Saccharomyces cerevisiae S288C: one gene and its partners. Changing the gene in region 4 together with the main gene of any one other region gives a genetic interaction. Each region holds a gene or a part of one and is shown on either strand. Other genes may lie near its edges.

What was found.
Region 1: mutations in IPP1 (region 4) and SOM1 together harm fitness more than expected from each alone (negative genetic interaction), as found in Saccharomyces cerevisiae (one large-scale study listed by BioGRID).
Region 2: mutations in IPP1 (region 4) and ATP22 together harm fitness more than expected from each alone (negative genetic interaction), as found in Saccharomyces cerevisiae (one large-scale study listed by BioGRID).
Region 3: mutations in IPP1 (region 4) and ALG2 together harm fitness more than expected from each alone (negative genetic interaction), as found in Saccharomyces cerevisiae (one large-scale study listed by BioGRID).

Annotation. Positions count from the first base shown.
Region 1 is NC_001137.3:41,213-45,799, reverse strand, and holds SOM1 (Som1p), read left to right. Parts: upstream 1-3,175; coding exon 3,176-3,400; downstream 3,401-4,587. Other genes in the region: SDD1 (Sdd1p), read left to right, coding at 79-780; phosphoacetylglucosamine mutase PCM1, read right to left, coding at 875-2,548; HHY1 (Hhy1p), read right to left, coding at 2,840-3,148; PRB1 (proteinase B), read left to right, coding at 3,847-4,587. UniProt on the Saccharomyces cerevisiae protein: Non-catalytic component of the mitochondrial inner membrane peptidase (IMP) complex. IMP catalyzes the removal of signal peptides required for the targeting of proteins from the mitochondrial matrix, across the inner membrane, into the inter-membrane space.
Region 2 is NC_001136.10:1,174,389-1,180,700, reverse strand, and holds ATP22 (Atp22p), read left to right. Parts: upstream 1-2,526; coding exon 2,527-4,581; downstream 4,582-6,312. Other genes in the region: SBE2 (Sbe2p), read right to left, coding at 1-2,035. UniProt on the Saccharomyces cerevisiae protein: Translation factor specific for subunit 6 of the mitochondrial ATPase. Required for assembly of the CF(0) component of the ATPase.
Region 3 is NC_001139.9:378,363-384,332, forward strand, and holds ALG2 (GDP-Man:Man(1)GlcNAc(2)-PP-dolichol alpha-1,3-mannosyltransferase), read right to left. Parts: upstream 2,910-5,970; coding exon 1,398-2,909; downstream 1-1,397. Other genes in the region: deubiquitination module subunit SGF73, read left to right, coding at 1-1,220; MRH4 (ATP-dependent RNA helicase), read right to left, coding at 3,161-4,846; pseudouridine synthase PUS2, read left to right, coding at 5,292-5,970. UniProt on the Saccharomyces cerevisiae protein: Mannosylates Man(2)GlcNAc(2)-dolichol diphosphate and Man(1)GlcNAc(2)-dolichol diphosphate to form Man(3)GlcNAc(2)-dolichol diphosphate.
Region 4 is NC_001134.8:256,612-261,989, reverse strand, and holds IPP1 (inorganic diphosphatase IPP1), read left to right. Parts: upstream 1-4,014; coding exon 4,015-4,878; downstream 4,879-5,378. Other genes in the region: YBR012W-A (gag protein), read right to left, coding at 799-2,121; HHT1 (histone H3), read right to left, coding at 5,249-5,378.

The DNA of each region.
Region 1 (4,587 bases), on a different chromosome or scaffold from region 4:
CAAGCCCAAGCTTATATTCATATTATGGAATACAAAAGGCGAAAAAGAAAATTGACTAGTAACTAAATTGAAAATTAAATGGCAAATGATGGGATTCAGAGGAATGACAACAGAAAGGGTTTTAAAACTGTACAGTTCTCGGCTTATTCTAAAGAAATTGACGTCATAATGAAAAAAATATCATTCTTGGAAAGAAACATTACCCAACAACTAGATACTCTTCCTCATTTTCCAAAAACCTTACCACCAAATCACAAAGATTGTGTAAGTAGAAAGCACAGGGCCAGGCGAGGTTGGAGTAGTCAGCTGAAAAACTTGCTAGGCATTTACTCCAAAGAGGAAATTTTTACTCTGGATAATTTAGCTGCAACACTGCATGATCAAGTTTTAAAGTTACAAGCTACACTTTTTCCCAATGCCATACTGAAACAGGTTCATCTCGACAATGCCAACATAGAAAACAAGAGAATTCTGAAGGAAATTACATATAAATACCTTTCCAACGAAAACTGTAAAGAGGAGAACAAATTCGGAACATTCATCGTAAAGAGAATTTTTTTTGGTGACTTATCACTCGGGGTTTCCGTGTTAATCAACCGTATTGCTTTCGAATCGGCCACATCATCCATTATGGTAGTGAGAAGTTCATTTATTGAAAGTGATTTCTTTTATGAAGATTATTTGATTTTCGATTGCAGAGCGAAACGACGAAAAAAATTGAAGAGGAAAATTTTGTTTATTTCCACTACCATGAATTTCAATTACCAAACCAAAGTCTAAGCCTGTAACAAACGTTGATTGATACCAATATTTTTTCTCTTTCATTTATCTCTCTGTATATCTAAATAGCTATACTATACATCGAATAATGCTTTCAAGCAGATGCCTTAACGTGCTCCACCACTTCGTCACAAAATTGACCTAACTTAGAGGAGTCCTTACATTCCGCATAAACCCTCACCGCATCCTCCGTACCACTGGCTCTGACAAAGCTTCTTCCCATGGGATACTTGGCTACCACAAGATCTATCTTGTCTTGCAACCCCACTGGATTGAGCAATTTTCTTTCCTGGTCCGTGGTTTGGAAAATTGACCTATCAGGAACGATGCACTTAACCAGCTTGTTGGGCAAATCAGTATACTCTTCATCCCAATCCATTGGCGACATTTTCAAAATCGCCAAAGTAGCAAGGACAGCAAGCATGTCTGAAATAGCATCTCCCACGGTCTGATTAATCAATTCAGAGAAACACTTCAAAGTTCTCAAAGCTAACGTATCACCATTTAACTTGGACTTGGATAATTCAGATTTGATAGTTCGATGAAATTTTTCGCTGAATATAATCGTACCATGTCCATTTGCTTCGAAATAAATGCCAATATCGTACTGAGTGGCAGCTTCATGATGCAAGTGTTTAACACCTGTCTTAGTGCAAGACACGGGACAGTGCAACGTATTTTTTATGTAAGCGGTGGAACTGCCGTTTGCATAGGCAGTTTGCACAACACCAATCTTCAAAGAATGTTCTAGGTGTGCCAATTCTAGTTGTTTAGACAAGAACTTTGCAAACAAAGTGGAAATTTTGTCACCATCCAACAAATGAAATTTTGATCCTGAGTCGACATAGTAGAACACAACCCTGTCTGCGTCACCATCAAAGGAGCAATATAGCGAATCAAACGAGGATGGAGAAAGACCCTTGGGTAATCTCTGGTTAGTCTTCACATAATCCGCACCGCATTCAAAATTCAACAGTTCTGGAACATCGGACCTGTCGTTGATTACCTCAACTTGCTCCGCTGGCACGTCCCAATCTTCGGAGGCCAGTAGTTTTTTCAACTGTGGACCACCGATACCATTGGCTGTGTCTATGAACAATTTTGGGACAGACAGCCTCTTCTCCAGCTGATACGTGGCGAAGAGCTCGTTGAAGGCTCCTATAAAGAACGAATAGTAGTCCTGTTCTGTGGCAACTGGCGCTGTGTCTCCTTCCAGTTTCCGCCTGTTGGACAAATCAGTAATGTAATGCAATTGAGGCGTAGTGACACAGCCTAGGTCCAAAACTTGCGCGTGGAAGACGCTGGCCATGGAGGAAGTCAAGCAGCGCAGCAAGTATGGACTACTTTCCCTAGAGTCTCTCCCAACCACGATGTGAGGCACGACGGTTGTATTCAAATCAATCTTTTCGTGTTCAATCAGCTTGGCCAACTCAACACGAAATTCTTCAAAATTAGTGGCAAAAGAGGCCGCATTGGCCAACTGCATGGCATATGGCTCCCATGTGGCCAAAAGCATCGATCCGTCTGGTTCCACGATCTTGACCCCGTTGTCCTGGTATGGGTTGTGCGACGCCGTGATCATCACCCCCACATACTGACCCTGAAGCTTCAGCGACCTGAGAACCGCCAGTATACCAGTACTGAACATCACCGTATCCAAATTCTTGGCCAGCGTTCTGAATCCGGCCGTACCGTAACTGAACTGCACATTCTTTGTGCGGCACGTGTCATCGTAGAGTTTGCACAATTGCTCGTAATCAACCTTCATCGTCTCTAAGCTTACTGCTGACCTTTGCCTTGGTCCTTGTACTTGTCTCGATTGCTGAAACCATTAACGGTTTTTTGTTCTTACTTAATCTTTTTTTTCCCGACGACGCAAAATGTCAGAAAAGATATAAATAGAGCAACGTTTCCTGCTACATGAAACACGCTGGCATATAGAAGAACTTCAACGAGCGAGGCTCTCTGAACAATCTGCTAATCGTGCAAGTAAGGGTTCTCGTGACAGTTCACCGTGTATAAACAGATAAACAGATAAACAGTCAGATATGCTTAATTTTTAACTGTAGGCTGTGCCGACATGCCATTTTATGCGGCTCACTTCTAACAAAAGTGACCATGACGCACAAGCAAGCAAACAGCCAAGTAAGGAAGCAGACAGCTTCACAGCACACACACACCGTTGTGTACGAAAATCCTCTGCAGAAGAGTGTATATGCCACTCATCCACACTTCCGCAGCGCAGTACGTAATGCGGTATCGTGAAAGCGAAAAAAAAACTAACAGTAGATAAGACAGATAGACAGATAGAGATGGACGAGAAACAGGGGGGGAGAAAAGGGGAAAAGAGAAGGAAAGAAAGACTCATCTATCGCAGATAAGACAATCAACCCTCATGGCGCCTCCAACCACCATCCGCACTAGGGACCAAGCGCTCGCACCGTTAGCAACGCTTGACTCACAAACCAACTGCCGGCTGAAAGAGCTTGTGCAATGGGAGTGCCAATTCAAAGGAGCCGAATACGTCTGCTCGCCTTTTAAGAGGCTTTTTGAACACTGCATTGCACCCGACAAATCAGCCACTAACTACGAGGTCACGGACACATATACCAATAGTTAAAAATTACATATACTCTATATAGCACAGTAGTGTGATAAATAAAAAATTTTGCCAAGACTTTTTTAAACTGCACCCGACAGATCAGGTCTGTGCCTACTATGCACTTATGCCCGGGGTCCCGGGAGGAGAAAAAACGAGGGCTGGGAAATGTCCGTGGACTTTAAACGCTCCGGGTTAGCAGAGTAGCAGGGCTTTCGGCTTTGGAAATTTAGGTGACTTGTTGAAAAAGCAAAATTTGGGCTCAGTAATGCCACTGCAGTGGCTTATCACGCCAGGACTGCGGGAGTGGCGGGGGCAAACACACCCGCGATAAAGAGCGCGATGAATATAAAAGGGGGCCAATGTTACGTCCCGTTATATTGGAGTTCTTCCCATACAAACTTAAGAGTCCAATTAGCTTCATCGCCAATAAAAAAACAAACTAAACCTAATTCTAACAAGCAAAGATGAAGTTAGAAAATACTCTATTTACACTCGGTGCCCTAGGGAGCATCTCTGCTGCTTTGGTCATCCCAAATCTTGAAAATGCCGCCGACCACCACGAACTGATTAACAAGGAAGATCACCACGAGAGACCCAGAAAAGTGGAATTCACTAAGGACGATGATGAGGAGCCATCTGACTCTGAAGATAAAGAACATGGAAAGTTCCATAAGAAGGGCCGCAAGGGCCAAGACAAGGAGTCTCCGGAATTCAACGGTAAACGTGCAAGTGGCTCTCATGGGAGCGCCCACGAGGGAGGAAAGGGCATGAAGCCTAAGCATGAAAGTTCCAATGATGATGATAATGATGATAAGAAGAAGAAGCCTCACCATAAGGGTGGCTGCCACGAAAATAAGGTGGAGGAGAAGAAGATGAAAGGTAAGAAAGTCAAGGGCAAGAAGCACCACGAAAAGACGTTGGAGAAAGGGAGGCACCACAACAGGCTGGCTCCTCTCGTGTCCACTGCACAATTCAACCCAGACGCGATCTCCAAGATCATCCCCAACCGCTACATTATAGTCTTCAAGAGAGGTGCCCCTCAAGAAGAGATCGATTTCCACAAGGAAAACGTCCAGCAGGCACAACTTCAATCCGTAGAGAACTTATCTGCCGAAGACGCTTTCTTCATTTCTACTAAAGACACCTCCTTGTCCACCTCTGAGGCTGGCGGTATCCAGGACTCATTCAACATCGATAATCTTTTC
Region 2 (6,312 bases), on a different chromosome or scaffold from region 4:
AGAATAGCATCTCATCACCAGTAACCAAACCTTGTTGAGATATAGATTTCAGTTGCAGTAATAGCATCAAGTCAGAAACCACTTGCTTATCTGTTCCATTTTTATAAAAAACCTTTTCCTGTACATCGTGTTCAATAAGCTGTCTTATTTCAAATTCTTTATCTTTGGGAAAATCCATTTTGTTGAGTAGCTGCATTACTTCCTCAAATGATTCAATAAAACATTTTGTTATCAAGCAATTGTCACTTTGTAGAAGTTGACTATATATTTGAAGCCGTACTTTAGATATCAAAGGTGTTTCCCAAATAATTTTCTTTAATTCACTTAATGACGAGTTACGAGTAATGCCTCGGTCCAGTAAATGCTGGAATTTGACCTTATTCTGCTCATTCTTTTTGGCTTTTTCGTCACGTTCTTTATTTTTTTGCAACTCTTCCATTGATGCTAAGTCGATATTTTTGTAGATTTGTTTATCTTGCAATTTCCTCTCTTTGAAATCCTTGGGCGGGAGCCAACTCGGACGGAAATGACTTACGGCCTTTAGTTTGTCCTCTGAAACTAGCATTAGGTCTTCCATTCCCTGACTACTGGCTTCTTTAAATTCCAGTGGTAAACTCTGTACAGATCTTGAACGACCAGAAAGAATACTTTTGGAGATTTTTTCGGAACTATGCAGGTATATTTGGGAGAGATTTTTCATTGTATCCTGGATGTACTGTGAATCAGACACAGGAGATATACCAGGAATGCATGTTGGCGGAAGCTCCTTATAGTCCAGACATGATTCTTTTAAAGTGTTACTTGAATTTGATGTATGTTTTCTAGTACTATGAACCTGATGGAAAGTTTTGTCCACACAGAGAGCCGAAGATGAGTGTTGTTTGCCTTCGCAATTGTTCTCCTGTATTAATATCTCTTCATCCCCCCGCGCTGAATCTAAACTCATTTCTTTTCTATTAAACTTAGATAATGTTAAAAAAGAACTGGTCGATAAAGATGCCATTGGAATGTTCCAAATTAACGAGCCGTCGACATCGCCCTCTTGAAGTTCCAAGTTAACGTCTTGATCTTCATAAAATTTTTCTTTCATTTTTATGGCTTTACGCAAAGATTGGTCATTTTGCTCTTTCCTTAAACGGTAACGTTGAGAAGGAGTAAGTTGGGTTGTTTTATATGGTAATATTACAGAAGTACTATTGGAATGCACATACGGCGTTTTTGTGATCGGCATGAGTTTTGGTTCTTGGATAGTTGCGGTACTCATGCAATGATGTTTAAGAGGAGAGTCATTCTCGCTTATGAATGAAGTTTGTGATGCGGCTATACTGTTGGTTGTATTGCTCGATCCAGGCAGCCCTACTGTCCTGGAGAGTTTAGGAGTTGACACCGAATTTTGACGAGATGGAATGCATGTAGTTATGGTACTCATTGAGCAGATTGTTTTATCAGCGCTACTTGCTGTACGTGTTTTCTGTAGTATTGATCCCGGTCGGCTTTTCTTTAAGGGCGTAATATTGCTTCTATGGTCAGCTTCTCTCATACTTTTGAAGAAGCAGTTATCCTCCATCTTACTGTTTGCTATTTCACCCTCTTCTGAGCTTATATCTGATGTACATAAAGAATCAGATGTCGTATTTGAGTGCGATGAAGAAAATATCTCTGTGCTCGATGTACCTATAGAATCATCTGATATTGGCCTAATGCACTTCGCTGTGGGTACGTGTGGATTATTATTACCTAATACATTTTTAACAACATCTTGGCTAGCGAAATTGAAATCTAGGTTGGAGCTAGGGCGTCTTGTTCCAATATTCTTTCCGTTCGAACCTGTAGTGCTACTGGATGCACTACTGCCTGATCGGGATTTAGACAACGGAAGGCTGCAACTTTTGCGTTCGGTATATTCTGAAAGCATCAACTCCTTTGTGGAAAACTTCTTAGGTTGATTTTGTTTCAGATGCGTTGAGTCCTCCTCCTTTAAAGGGTCTAGCTTAGACGTATTAGGAACTATATTAATCAAACGACGTGCTGTCATACAATAAAATTGAATGTCACAGAAAGCTAAAGAGCTGAAGTAAAATAATGAAGCAAAGGTGGAAGCCCGAAAATAAAGTTAAAATTCAAAGCTTGTAACGAACGTATGAATGAAAGCACTAATTGAGAAAAAACTGAATTTTGTCAAAACAGCTCTATGTTTCAGAATGATAAAAAGGAGAGTTAAAAATACAATGGACAGTGGAATACAGCCAAATGCTCGATAGCTTTCGCAGAAACAGTACAATTAAAGATCAACACTTGTATTCTAATTATAGCAGGATCGATGTTACATCTCTTTTGCTCTCTAATCGGAGCTGAAAAAAAAAAAAAAAAGCGTATATAGTGATCTACGCTGATTAACATTATAGATTGCATAAAAGGGAAAAAGGAATTACATGAAGATCTATTCTGCGCGACACACTTTATTGGCGTACTGGCAAGAATGGGCTTTCAAATCTTCCAAGCGTTCACTTTAATGTTCTTATTGGCATGTTAAAATGTATATGCCGTGTCTATTCCCAGCCTTTGGCTCAAATGGTCACTTCACCGCTGTTTAAACATATGGGTAGCGCAGGGACATACACAATTCTACCTATTACAAATCTGCGCCATTTATCTACGAAAAACTGTCCATTGAAAATTAAATCAAATCGTTCAGAACCTTTGCAGTTTGGCGATTTTGAACGACAGGTGCCATGTTCTAGGAAGAGCGGATCTTCGAAAAATGTTCAGAAGCGTTTATACGAGCTCCGACAATTGAAAACTGTATTAAGTGAGACTTTTGGAGTAACTGAATACGCCTCTTTTTTTGAATCTCTACGAAATGCCCTGCATATAAATAATTGCTCAGAAAATGAAAAGAAGAAACTTTTATATGATATCATTTTGCATCAACACGAGTTATACCCAGAGGTGGCAAGAAAAATTGGATTTTATCTACCAGGTGAGGTCCACAGATGGTTCTGGTATCATATTCCAAAATCAGAATCTTTTAATCACTATCTTTTTCTTTTGAAAAGTGATGTTCTTCTCTTTACTTCTAACTACTGTACGAGATTTACCAATAGGCTGATAAAAGGAACTGAGATGGAGAGGCAGTTAGCCACGTTCCAAATATTTTTGCATGATGAGACAAACATAAAATTTATAATGGAAAAAGTTCTGAAGTTGCATACATTTGACAGCTTAATCGCTCTAGTAAATGGCCTTGTTAAGGCGAAAAATTTTAGGTTCATTAAAGTATTTATTCAAGCTCTACTACAGAAGTTGGAACAGCACTGTTATTCTGGTAAAGATGGAGCAAAGCAAAAGAACCTGCGTTATGTCAAGTTCAACAATACCTTACTTTATTACCTTTTGAAAAGTGGAAATGTTGAGTTATTCATCAAAACCTTTCAAGAGGAACTGAAATTCATTGTAAGCTCAGGATTGCTTAATCACATTGATGGAAACGAACACATATTGAATTTTCCCATTCACCACTACTTGAATCTGCTCCGAATATCTAATAGGCAGGAGGAGCTTTTCAATGTAATTTCCTGCTTACAAAGCAGCCCACTGATGAAATATAAATTGTTCAAGGAGTTTTTAATGGGTGAATTAATTGCATCTTTTCAAGCCTTTCGTGACCCGAAATTGGTGTGTAAATATCTCCTCTCATCATACAGCTCAAAGGCGTCTGCTAATATTCTGAATGCCCTAGGGATTTGGGGGTGGCTCTATCATTCAAAATCAACGACTTTGACAGCTCCTACGTTAGCAAGAGAGCTGAAGAACAAAAATAATATTCTACCGAACACAATGCGAATAGGATCACCAGTGACTGTTCCAATTTTAACTGAACTGTATAGAAGCCTTTTATCTTCGAGTTCTGTTTCACTGGAAAGTGGTCAATTCAAGAATTGTCTTCTTGATTTATATTACAAGTACAAGAGTTTTCTTTCCGAGGAAGCTCATAAATACAGGTATTGGAGAAATGATACCGGAATCCTCAATGTTTTCCTAAATTATATTAGATTCCAAGCTCGTGAACCAAGGCTGGCCTACAATGTTCTTCTGGATTTTTATTCTCAACCTTTCGCCAAAAAAGTGGTTTTAACTACCACGCTATGTCCCTTTTCCATAGTAGCCTATAAAAATCATACATTAACGCAGGCTGAACTATCAGAATTGCTACAGGTGATGCATAAAAATGGGGTGCCTTTAACGTTTAAATTTTGTTCTGCAATGGTAATGCATTATGTCAAAATGAGAGACGAAAAAGGAGCACGCTCCTGGTACAATAAGATACTCTTCGGGGGCTTTGAAATCAGGCATATGGCTTTGATACAGATAATAAAAGACCAAGGCTGGCCGTTTCCCAAAAACTTTGACGAAACTTTACTGACGGAATTGGTGGAAAATAATAACATTAAAGAACCTACTGATAGCACCCTGTTTACTGACGAAGATATGTTCGAAGAAGATGGCAAGCCTAGATTTAATGATGATGATGTTAATAAATGTACAAATATTATAAGAGAGACGTTGAAAAGTCTAAATTAATATCCAGATGAGCACTAGTAAATAGTAAATATTCATTCATAGATAGTAATTTACCCATAAGTTATTAATACCTACAAAGTTTTTTCATAAGTTTATGAATATGTCTTCTTGGCCCATGGTTACTTTATTACCTCTAATACCTTATTTACTTTCTCAAATAAATGAGCCCTTGGATTTCATTTACTGAGAATAAAAAAAAGTACCGTGCTCGGCAAAAATGCTCCAGGGGAGGTTCGAACTCTCGACCTTCAGATTATGAGACTGACGCTCTTCCTACTGAGCTACTGAAGCTTTGTTTTGTACAGACGTTACATCTCAGAATGGGATACGTCAGCATGACAATACATTATCCTGAACGTTCATAGAACACATATGAAACCTAAGAAAACGAACAGATTGAGCAACATGAGGTAAAACTCCGCCTTCTATAGCTGGGCTATCTAAACGTATAAATGCCTGAACAATTGGTTTATGAGAAATGGGTGTATTTTGAGAGACTTGTTGGGATTCCATTGTTGATAAAGGCTATAATATTAGGTGTACAGAATATACTAGAAGTTCTCCTCGATGATATTGGAATCCTCTAAATGGAATCTATATTTCTACATACTAATATTACGATTATTCCTCATTCCGTTTTATATGTTTCATTATCCTATTACATTATCAATCCTTGCACTTCAGCTTCCTCTAACTTCGATGACAGCTTCTCATAACTTATGTCATCATCTTAACACCGTATATGATAATATATTGATAGTACAACTATTAGTTGATAGACGATAGTGGATTCTTATTCCAACAGTTTAGATCCAAGGTTCCGCGCTTCCACCATTTAGTATGATCCATATTTTATATAATATATAGGATAAGTAACATTCCGTGAATTAATCTGATAAACCGTTTTGACAACTGGTTACTTCCCTAAGACTGTTTATATTAGGATTGTCGAGACACTCCGGTATTACTTGAGCCCGTAGTACAGCGCAGGCCTCCAGAGTTGAATTATTCTAAATTCCTGAATAATAACAATTTTGCAGACAAAATTCAGGCAATAACTCAAAAGAGTAATCTTTCACTGCATTTAAGGCGCTAAGATTCCCGCCAAAAGTAGTCGTCACAAAAGAACGTATATAAAATGCACTTTCGAGCGGTGACAATGTGAGAAATAGGTAAATATTGAGACAATTGTTGGGATTACCCTGTTTCTCATCTTTTATGTCATCTTTTTACACCGTATATGATAATATGCTAGTCGATAGATGGTGGTCGATTCTTCTTCCTGTATACAAATATATGAGTTGGGGATGTATATTGCAAAGAGCTTGATTATGACACATTGCCAGACCAAAAAACAAATCTCTTTCTATAATGTTCCCAGGTGGGCTAATTTTTTAAATAACGACGGCAGTATATTGATATTGGAGAGAGTTGTATTTATTGTTCGATATTTATTTTGATATCAGCTTTATATTGTAAGTGTTCAATATTTTAATTAGTGTGTATTTTGTAACTTTACTGCCAATTATCAACATAATTACAAAATTGTTATAAAAATTGATGCACTAGTGTTTCGGTTCTTGCTCTTTTAACCAACCGAGCCTAAAAAAGAGGCTCTTGAAAGTAATTTAACCCAAACAATGAGATCTTCATTCTTTTTTTTTTTACCTCAGCTATGACTTGCAGTGCTTTGTATCATACCGCTCGTTTGGTCGTGCTATTTGCAACAAT
Region 3 (5,970 bases), on a different chromosome or scaffold from region 4:
ATTCAATGGGTGCAAAGAGGGCTGTCTCTGGTCGTTCCAAGCCCTACGACGTCTTGCTAGCAGATTATCATAGAGAACATCAAACAAAAATTGGTGCAGCTGCTGAGAAACGTGCTAAGCAACAAGAATTACAAAAATTACAAAAGCAGATACAAAAAGAGCAGAAAAAACATACTCAGCAACAGAAACAAGGTCAAAGGTCTAAGCAAAGAAATGTGAATGGTGGGAAATCAGCCAAAAATGGTGGTAAGAGTACTGTACACAATGGTAACAATATCAATGAGATAGGACACGTTAACCTAACTCCTGAAGAGGAAACAACACAGGTTCTAAATGGGGTATCCCGATCTTTCCCACTGCCACTAGAGTCAACGGTACTATCGTCAGTTAGATACAGGACTAAATATTTTAGAATGAGGGAAATGTTTGCTTCCTCCTTTTCTGTGAAACCAGGATATACATCTCCAGGTTACGGTGCGATCCATTCTCGTGTAGGATGCTTGGATTTGGATAGAACAACAGATTACAAATTTCGTGTTAGGACTCCACAGCCAATTAATCACCTCACAAACCAAAACCTCAATCCGAAACAAATACAAAGACTACAACAACAGAGAGCTCTACAGGCTCAGCTTCTTTCTCAACAACAGCAACAGCAGCAACAGCAGCAGCAACATCACTCACCCCAAGCGCAGGCCCAGGCCAGTACCCAACAACCTACTCAAGGTATGGTGCCCAATCATTTCCCCGGCGGGGCAACGAATTCATCATTTAATGCCAATGTGTCGAGCAAGCAAATTCAGCAGCAGCAGCAGCAGCAGCAGCACAAGTCTCAAGACACAGGTCTCACGCCGCTGGAGATACAATCACAACAACAAAAACTACGACAACAACAACTACAACAACAGAAGTTTGAAGCTGCTGCTTCATATTTAGCCAACGCTACCAAATTAATGCAAGAATCAAATCAAGATAGCCATTTATCTGGCACCCACAACAATAATAGTAGTAAAAACGGTAACAATAACCTCATGACGATGAAAGCCTCCATAAGCTCTCCCAATACTAGCGTAAATAGTATCCAATCTCCCCCTAGTGTCAACAGCGTCAATGGCTCCGGGCAAGGTGTATCTACCGGTATTAATGTCTCTGGCAATAACGGGAGAATTGAAGTAGGTATTGGAAATTCTGTGAACCCCTACAATGGCAGAATAAATTAATTGAATCATGCACGTTATCCAGCATGTTCACGAAGTGAGTAATAAAAAATTATTCGCCGAAGTAACATGTACACGTCTATGTTTGTGGACAAGTTACGCTATTTGCATTTAGAGATTTCTTCTCCAATGTAAATTATTTTTTCTTCGGGGGGTATACATTATTTATTTAAGTAGACATTATATTTCTTCATAAGGGTAGGAGAGAGCGAATACAAATGCCCAGTAAATTCCCCATAAGTAGTTCTTAAAATATAATACCATAAAAGTGGCCATAAATAGGAAGGGCCATGGATTATTGGGTAGAATTTTTATAAATGCCATATGCAAAATAAAATTAGAGAATGAAATACCGAATATTTCCCAAGGATAATACTTTTTTTCTTTCCATATGACTTTCTCGACGTTTTCTTCAAATGACTGAGTCATTGCTTCCCTAGAAAAGTATTTCTTGACTCTTAGCGGGCCATTCCTCTCAAAGTTCACAGAACCGTTCTGCAAGATCTTTCTGCTTTCATCAATTGCAGTAGCCCATTGAATAGGGACGGCAGGTTTTAGCCACCCAGTGGCAGAACTTTCATTTTCACCAGCAACGTAAGATTTGATAGTCTCCAAAGGACCTCCATTGTTTACTGCTAGTACAGGCTTACCTAATTTCATGGCTTCTAAAGGAACAATACCAAAGTGCTCATATGCTGGTGTATACAATAACATTTCGGTTCTTTCGAGCAGTAATTCTTTCAGAGATGATGAAATGGAAGTTAAAAATATAATTTTACTATTATTGGTTTTGAATGACTCTAAATCGGAGACGCGCTTTATTTCTTGGTAGTATATGGTTGTATGGGATAATTCGTATTCATCGGCCAGAGACTGTAGTTCCTTCAAGTACTCCACATTTTCTGCAACCCTCTCGTCATAACCACCGCAAATAACTAACTTAACGTTGTCATTGATTTGATCTTCAGATAACGCAAAAGCCTTTATAGCCAGCGCAACATCCTTTTTTTTCTCAAAACGATTTATACTTAGGTAAAATCTATCGCCTTCGTTAAACACTGTTTTGAAAAATTTCTTGTCAATATCTTCAATTTCGATTGTTGATAAATCCACGCATGGATAAATGACGTCTGGATCATTGGATAAATACTTGAACGTTTGGTGGAACGTATTCTTAGTGAAATTTGAATTTACCACAACAGTATCGGCAGCACTCACGGAAAACTGTTCTATTAAGTCAAATGGTAGTCTGTATATTTTCTTCAATAGCCCAGCTCTTTGAGCCAATAATTGGTCGGGGAAATGACAATAAAACATCAAAGTGGCAGAACTAAAGATATGCAGAAGCGGAATACATGTAGACAGTTGATCAATGATAATTAATTGGTACGCATTCACTTTTTTCTGTAGGATCAATTGAATAACTAAATAAAGCTGTCTAATTGTTGCGAAAACAATAAAAAAACGACCCAAAAAGTTTGTCGGTAAAAAATCACCATAAACTTCGACTTTTAATTGGCCGTTTTTAACTTCTTCGAAACAATGTGATTTATCACAGTGACTAGTATAGATGATTACACTATGTCCTTGTTGCTGTAGACCTAATGCTGCATCGACGACTAACCTTTCAGCGCCCCCAATACCTAGGTCTGGATGAATAAAAGCAATCGTTCTTTTATCCTTTTCAATCATTTTTGCTTGTCTAATCGACTCTTTTTTATCTGTCTTTACTACTGTATCTATTTCGTGACTTCTTAAATGGCGAACGTAATCTTTTGATGTTAAAATGAATACATCATTTATTTTGTTGTTCGCGCGTTCATCTAGCCAGGCACTTGTTTATAAAAAAAGAAGCTATACGCAAGGCTCTCGATCTATAAATTGTATCTGTGATTGTGACCCTTTCGTATATATGTTATAATATTTACAAGAATATACATTTATCATGATAATCTCTGGTGCTTTTTGATGATCTTTGGAAGAGCTTTAGCCCAAGATTTTGTTTTACTGTCAGTTAGCATAAATACGCGGCCGCCCTGTTTCATTCTAGCAGTTCTGCCCACTCGGTGTATCAGGTCTATTGACGTTTTGGGTACATCGTAGAGAACAACATTCCGTACACCTTTGAAATTGAGCCCTCTTGCCATGAGGTCGGTGGTTACGAGTACATGCAAAGACTTGTTACTGGGTGCGGTACCATTAGAATTTGTGTTTTTCAATTTGCCGATGACGATGTTGGAATCAGGAATTTCAAATTTCTTCAAGGAAGTGGGAGGTGAAGTACTCTGAGCAACCACCTCCGAAAGTGGTCGCGGTGGTGATAAAAAGGGCATAATTTTCTCGGATCTTTCTTCAAATGTATCTTCACCAGTTAAACCGATGGCATTATGACCGAATTTCTTATTCAATAGGTTAACAATTTCAGGAACATTCTTTTTTTCGTTAACAAAGATAATGCATCTTTTCTCGAACCCTGGTTCCGTGTCATCATTTGAAATAGCATATAAAGTTTGTGCCAATGCTTTGATCTTGGATCCCTTGAAAGGACTTAAGGCAGAATTTATAACTTTAAAGTCCAAAGCGAATGGTAACTTATGCAGTCTGGGTGTCATTATAGGAACCACTGTAGGAAATAGTCTTTGCATTGTTTTATTAAACTCTTGAGGAATAGTAGCGGAACAGAAAATAAGGTGATTAATGTTAGGAATTCTCTTTATTGCGGAGTGCGTTTCTTCAAGCCATGACCTATCTAGAAGTGTGTCAGCTTCATCTAGTACTACGAAACCCACTTTGGACAAGACTTTATCAGGTCTAGTTATCATTCTTATGGAGAACAGGTTCAGTAGTTTTCCCGGAGTAGTGACTAAAATATCTATTCTATTTTTAATGTTCTCTAATAAATCACGATATGATGTGGCCTTGTCCCACTTGAAAGAGTTTAAGCCTAACAAGGTTTTCGTCTTGGAAACAGTTTCGTATACTTGGTCAACCAATTCATGCGTAGGCACCAGTATGATGGACCGAATCAGAACGTTTTTTCTTAATGTTTCCCATAATTCGGGAGTTTCCAACTCCTGTCTTTTCAAATAGTCTATTAAAGGTATCAAGTAGGCCATGGTCTTACCTGAACCTGTCTCAGCGGCAATCGCATGTATTTGTAACTTTGGATCCATTAAATTTTTGGATATTCTCTTAATGGCCACTGTTTGAATGGGACTCGGTATTATATTTTCACTGGTTTTTTTCCTACTATCTTGTAGCTTCAGGGACTCTTTGGAAATGATTTCTTTCACAGCGTCTCTGACAGGTGGAAGTATAAGCAATTGGTCGAAATTCGATATTTTTTGAATGAGTTTATTCGTACTGTCCATATTCATCTCGACGTCTTTTTTCAATCCACCATACTCTCCAAAGTTGAATGCTTGGTCAGGGTCATTCTTTTTGTTACCTTTTTTGCCTTTGGCCTTCTGTTTTCGGTTTTTATTACTACTGCCTGTAGGCACTGAAGCTAATGGAGAGTTTCCTTTATGCTTTGTTCTTGGGCCTCCCGCATAAGAACGCACTCCTATCTTGAGAAGCACGGGGAAAGACCACTGTGGTGAAATTACTGGCTTGAAAAAAAGCGACATTTGTCTTATTATACTTTAATCTGATCTGAAGAAGTATTTCTACTCATCACTAATATCTATTCCGCTATTATTATAGTTGTAATTTATGATTCCGTGGTAAGTGATTTGAACTTTTGCTTCCTTTCGAAAATTTCAAGAATATGGTTTGGTTGTGCTGTGCAAGAGCGGTTGTATTGCGAAATAGAACCCATCGAGAAAAGAAAATGAAAAAGACGGCATTAAAGACTAGCTCTGTTTTAAGACAAATATTTACAGGCCAGAGAATAAAGAGATACTCGTATGTATGAATTGTAGCCCCTTACACACATATGTATATATATCGATGTGAACATAGCATTTATTAACAGTTCTGCTCAGTACAAATGGTAGTAGTACTAGTGATGAGGTTACTCCGACACCGTTAACAGCGGTAGTAAAGAGAAGGCCGAGTAAACATAAGGTCGTTATGCTCTTAGGTTACTGTGGCAGCGGATACTATGGAATGCAATACAACCCACCACACAAGACGATTGAAGGTGAGATTCTCACCAAGCTCTTCGACGTAGGAGCCATTTCCGAAGAAAATTCATTGGCACCGAAGAAAAATTCCTTTATGGCAGCGGCAAGAACAGACAAGGGTGTACACGCTATGTTGAATCTACTGTCGCTAAAGATCACATTGCGAGAGGACACAGTAGCGAAGTTAAACGCCGCACTACCGCCCGAAATACGCGTGTGGGGTATCCAGCCTGTCAATAAAAAGTTTAATGCTAGATCCGCGTGCGATTCTCGATGGTACCAATACCTTATCCCAGAATTTATACTCATTGGTCCACCCCGGAGTTCTCTTTTGCATCGAAACGTGGGGGGATGCTACCGCGAAGACGGCTCGCAAGAGGTGTGGGATACGTTCCTGGAACAGACGCGTGGGAGATTTAGCGGGGATGAGCTGTGCCGTTTGCAGGACACTGCACAGAAACTAAGCGAGAGCGATCCTTTGGTACAAGACTACGTGGGGCTATTGAGCGGTACCCTTAGCGGCTACTGCTTGTCGCCCTCGAAGCTGGACGCGTTTGAGGCAGCCATGCAGGAGTACGTGGGAACGCATAATTTTCACAACTTTACCACAGGAAAGCTTTGGGGGG
Region 4 (5,378 bases):
CGACGGTCGTGTAATGGATAAACCCAACGGAATTTTGTTGTCTCATCAGTAAATGAGATGAAATAGGATGGTGCACTTTTTGGTAGGTTGTGAACTGGACCAAATATGTCAGTATGTAGGTATTGAAAGGGTTCGTATGAATTTTGGTATTTTAGTCGTGAACCTTTGATATGTCTGTGTTTGGTGCTTTTGCCGATTAAACAATCAGGACATTGATAGTCAATAGCACTAGACCAGTCGACATCTGATTCGTTAAAATACGTGATGGTGTTATTTTTAAGTGAGTATCGAATTGTCTGTGCATTGGCATGCGCAAGCATTCGATGAATGAAAGGATAAGGATATTTGCGTGTACTTTCACTTGTATGGACATTATTGATGGTGGGTACGGAGATATTTGATGGAAGCAAGTACTTTTTAGATACCCAGTAAAAGTCTCCATATTTTACGATAGGTGCAAGTACAGTGCCGTCAGATCGTTCTAAGACGTTTTTGGTAAAGCATGCTGTGATATCTACTGCAGCCAATTCATTCAAACTGAGTAAGTCATAGGCTATGTTAGGAGTGTGCAATACCTTTAATGATGTTTTGGTGTTGTCCTGGAAGTGAAATTGTAGGTCACCAATAGCGTTAATTGGTATATTTCTTTTTTGAGCATCAACTACGTTTATGTCAGGATTAGATGATGCTGAGTGTATGTGATGAGCAGATCTTATAAGGGTTCGTGATGCTCCTGAATCGAGAAGGAGGTGTCCAGGGAGTTCATCATCAGAATGATTAGTATGATTTACTGTAGATTCAGTAAGTTTCTGGCCTAAGATGAAGGTCGTGCTTATTGTTCAATTGAATCGGTTCAGTAGTTGATTTACTGATGGAATCGTTGTCCGTGCTGGGAGAGTTATTAGATGTGGATACATTGTGAGCCCTGGCTGTTTTCGATTTCGAATTATTTGTTTTTTGAGGATTCCGAGCTATAACTTTGGGTTTGGTTGTATTCGTATAGCTGCGAGAATCATTCTTCTCATCACTCGGATTTCTCCTGTAATTAGGTTTGCTGTTTCTCGATCCCTGTTGTTCTTCATAAATAGCATGGATATCTAAGAACAGTTCAGCGACTGTCATATTTAGATGTCGATGACGTGTGTAGCGTAAAAATTTATATTCGCCAGATAGACCTCTCATAATTAATTGACATGCGACCTTGTTATTGATATGAATGCCATTATTGTTCAGTCTGTCGATAATGTTTGTGACTTTTGTTTCAAATGCATCTGCAGGTGTACTGCCATTATATTGCAAATTTGCCAGGGTCACAATGTCGTTTGCCTCTTGGGTATCAGATTGCATTTTTTCAATACTTTTGGAAAGAATTTTCATGATATCCGTATAATCAACGGATAGGATGTCTTTGACCCAGGTAGGTAGGAATTGAGAGGGAGCAAATATTTGAAAAGCGTTATACAAGAAGGTGAGTTCATCATCAGTGATCGGACGTACGGGTTTTCCGTTTACTGTCGGAATAATACCACCGAGATTCGAGTTTTGTAAAAATTTGATGTATGTTTTAACCCAATTTGGAAAGTCATTAGGTGAGGTTAACATTGGTGGTGGTCTGACATATTTTTTAGTGGATGTCATATCAGAGTCCGCTGAGGATGAATCAGTAAATGTATTACCTGACTCAGGTGATGGAGTGCTCAGAGGCGTTCCAACTGATGATGGATACTGCGGAAACTGTGATTGTGGCCCAGGTGGAAAGTACATAGGCGACATTTGATAAGGTGTATACGGAATCATAGATGGGTGTCCGTAAAATGACCAACCAGATGGATTGGCTTGGTTTTGGGTCATCATGCACTGCTGTGGGTACGGCCCATTCTGTGGAGGTGGTACTGAAGCAGGTTGAGGAGAGGCATGATGGGGGTTCTCTGGAACAGCTGATGAAGCAGGTGTTGTTGTCTGTTGAGAGTTAGCCTTAGTGGAAGCCTTATCATATTCTTGAATTTTGGAAGCTGAAACGTCTAACGGATCTTGATTTGTGTGGACTTCCTTAGAAGTAACCGAAGCACAGGCGCTACCATGAGATATATGTGGGTAATTAGATAATTGTTGGGATTCCATTGTTGATAAAGGCTATAATATTAGGTATACAGAATATACTAGAAGTTCTCCTCGAGGATATAGGAATCCTCAAAATGGAATCTATATTTCTACATACTAATATTGCGATTATTCCTCATTCCGTTTTATATGTTTCATTATCCTATTACATTATCAATCCTTGCACTTCAGCTTCCTCTAACTTCGATGACAGCTTCTCATAACTTATGTCATCATCTTAACACCGTATATGATAATATATTGATAATATAACTATTAGTTGATAGACGATAGTGGATTTTTATTCCAACAATTACTTTAACATGAATAAGCTCAAAGTAAGCCAGAACAATTACCTACAAAGAAGTGATTTCTATAAATTCGAAAGAAACGGCACTGAATGGGAATATATATTTGCATCAAATTCAGCTTGTCTTGATTATAATAATAATACAGCTGTTAATAATGATATAATTTCGTCACTTAATTATTGCATCAGTGATGACAGATATTATGAAACTGCAGCGATGTGTGTGGTTTTGAAATTATCTCAAGATTGCTCTTTTGATGTGAGGCTTCAACGAAGTGGAAATGGGCCATATAAGAATATCTGGGATATGCCTTGCGGAGAATTACAACAACACATTGGTTACAAAAATGGTATATGCTATAATAGTGAAAACACGGTGTTATCGGCAGTAGGTGTAGAACATCGATATCATAAAAGTGTTTCTCGTCTATAAGATAAATTTGTTGGCGGTTATAGTTCGAAAAAGTGTATTGGACATGTTATAGATCAGAAAAACTTGGATAAAAATTGATAAAAGAAAAATGAACCACAATACCTTTACATAGTATTTTAACTCATTATCCTCGTGAAATATATATATATATATGGATATATATGGAACTTTGTTGGAATGAAATTTTAATATCATCTATTTCGCAGCACTCATGTTACTATTATATCACATGCGGTGTAAGAGGATGGCATAAAGATTGAGAAACAGTCATCCAATCTAATGGAATGCACGACACAATAATGAGTGACAACATATAAAAGGAAGTAAGATACAATAATATTATTATGTATAACTATCGATTTCCTTTTGTGGATTCCTATATCCTCGAAAAGAACTTCTAGTATAATCTGTGTACCTAATATTACAGCCTTTGAAAACAATGGAATCCCAACAATTATCTTATTCCCATAATTCTCATATACAAGATACAAGGGAGAAGTAAACAATGGATACAAGGAGAAATATGGCGCTAAAGGCTGATTTAATTGGATTGTTCGATTCGAAGTCGCTCAATAGAATTTGATGGCTCCCTCAGAGTGCGGTTCAAATCATTCGGATACTTTGAAGAAAGGGTAATATATTGTACCTTTGAACATGAGTTCATGAGTTGAAAAAGGTAAAAATAATCTGCTAAAATGATTACTCTTCTCTAAGAATGTGGTCTTCCCCACCCACGTGATAGTAATACATAGGAACCGTTTTACTGAACGCTACATTACCCATCAATATAATATCATGATTTAGCCGCCGAATTTTATGTAACTAAAAGGTTGCGGGACTTTGAAGCCCAGGTAGAAGTGTTTCATTCACAGAAGGAGATGCCAATGTGCTATTATTATCCCTGTGTGGCGCACTATTCAAACGGATTTGACTGTTCTTCAAAATATCGTCATCGCAGACGCTAAGGTTGTTGGGAGAAGCCACAGTCATTAGATACGATAGTCTCATGATGACTTTTTCTCGTTTTTTTTCGACGTTTTAAGGTCGCGTCGAAGTTAGGAAGGTTAGTTCATTTACAACTTGTTTTTGAATACTTACTTTCTTAATCATCTATTTTGATTTGTTGTCCCTTAGGTCTATAGAACAGGATATCCCGCCGCGCAATTTACTAATGACCTACACTACCAGACAAATTGGTGCCAAGAACACCTTGGAATACAAAGTTTATATCGAAAAGGATGGTAAGCCAGTTTCTGCCTTCCACGACATTCCCTTGTACGCTGACAAGGAAAACAACATTTTCAACATGGTTGTTGAAATTCCACGTTGGACCAACGCCAAGTTAGAAATCACCAAGGAAGAAACTTTGAACCCAATCATCCAAGACACCAAGAAGGGCAAGTTGAGATTTGTTAGAAACTGTTTCCCTCACCATGGTTACATTCACAACTATGGTGCTTTCCCACAAACTTGGGAAGACCCAAACGTAAGCCACCCAGAAACTAAGGCAGTTGGTGACAACGATCCAATTGATGTGTTGGAAATTGGTGAAACTATTGCTTACACTGGTCAAGTCAAGCAAGTTAAGGCTCTAGGTATCATGGCTTTATTGGATGAAGGTGAGACCGATTGGAAAGTTATTGCCATTGATATTAACGATCCATTAGCCCCAAAATTGAACGACATTGAGGATGTTGAGAAATACTTCCCAGGTCTGTTGAGGGCTACTAACGAATGGTTCAGAATTTACAAAATCCCAGATGGTAAGCCAGAAAACCAATTTGCCTTCTCCGGTGAAGCTAAGAACAAGAAGTACGCTTTGGATATCATCAAGGAAACACATGACTCCTGGAAACAATTAATTGCTGGTAAGTCTTCTGACAGCAAGGGTATTGATTTGACCAATGTTACTTTGCCTGACACCCCAACCTACTCCAAGGCTGCCTCTGATGCCATCCCACCAGCTTCTCCAAAGGCAGATGCTCCAATTGACAAGTCTATTGACAAGTGGTTCTTCATCTCCGGTTCTGTTTAAAATATTTTGAATTGAAAATGAGACACCTACCACGTATGCGGCTTCAAGTTGTTTAATATGTAGCTATATATCGATTATATAACTGACTCATGAATGAATATCTTCCTGCTGCAATTTTTCTTTAACCACATGGAAAGCCATAAATCTTGCCTCCTACAAGGCCTGGCTTTTTTCGAGGGTATCGCCAGGAAAAACAAATCAATAAATGTAAAACAAATAGAACCCTATTTTTTTTTATTAAAACCTATATTTTTGTAATAAAAAATAACTATTATACAACTGTTAAAGAACCCAGTAAACCTAAATATATTGATTTATATTTTATTGTGTTTTTGTTCGTTTTTTACTAAAACTGATGACAATCAACAAACTATGATCTTTCACCTCTTAATCTTCTAGCCAACTTGATATCCTTCTTTTGGATAGTGACACGCTTGGCGTGAATGGCAGCCAAGTTGGTATCTTCAAATAAAGAGACTAAGTAGGCTTCGACAGATTCT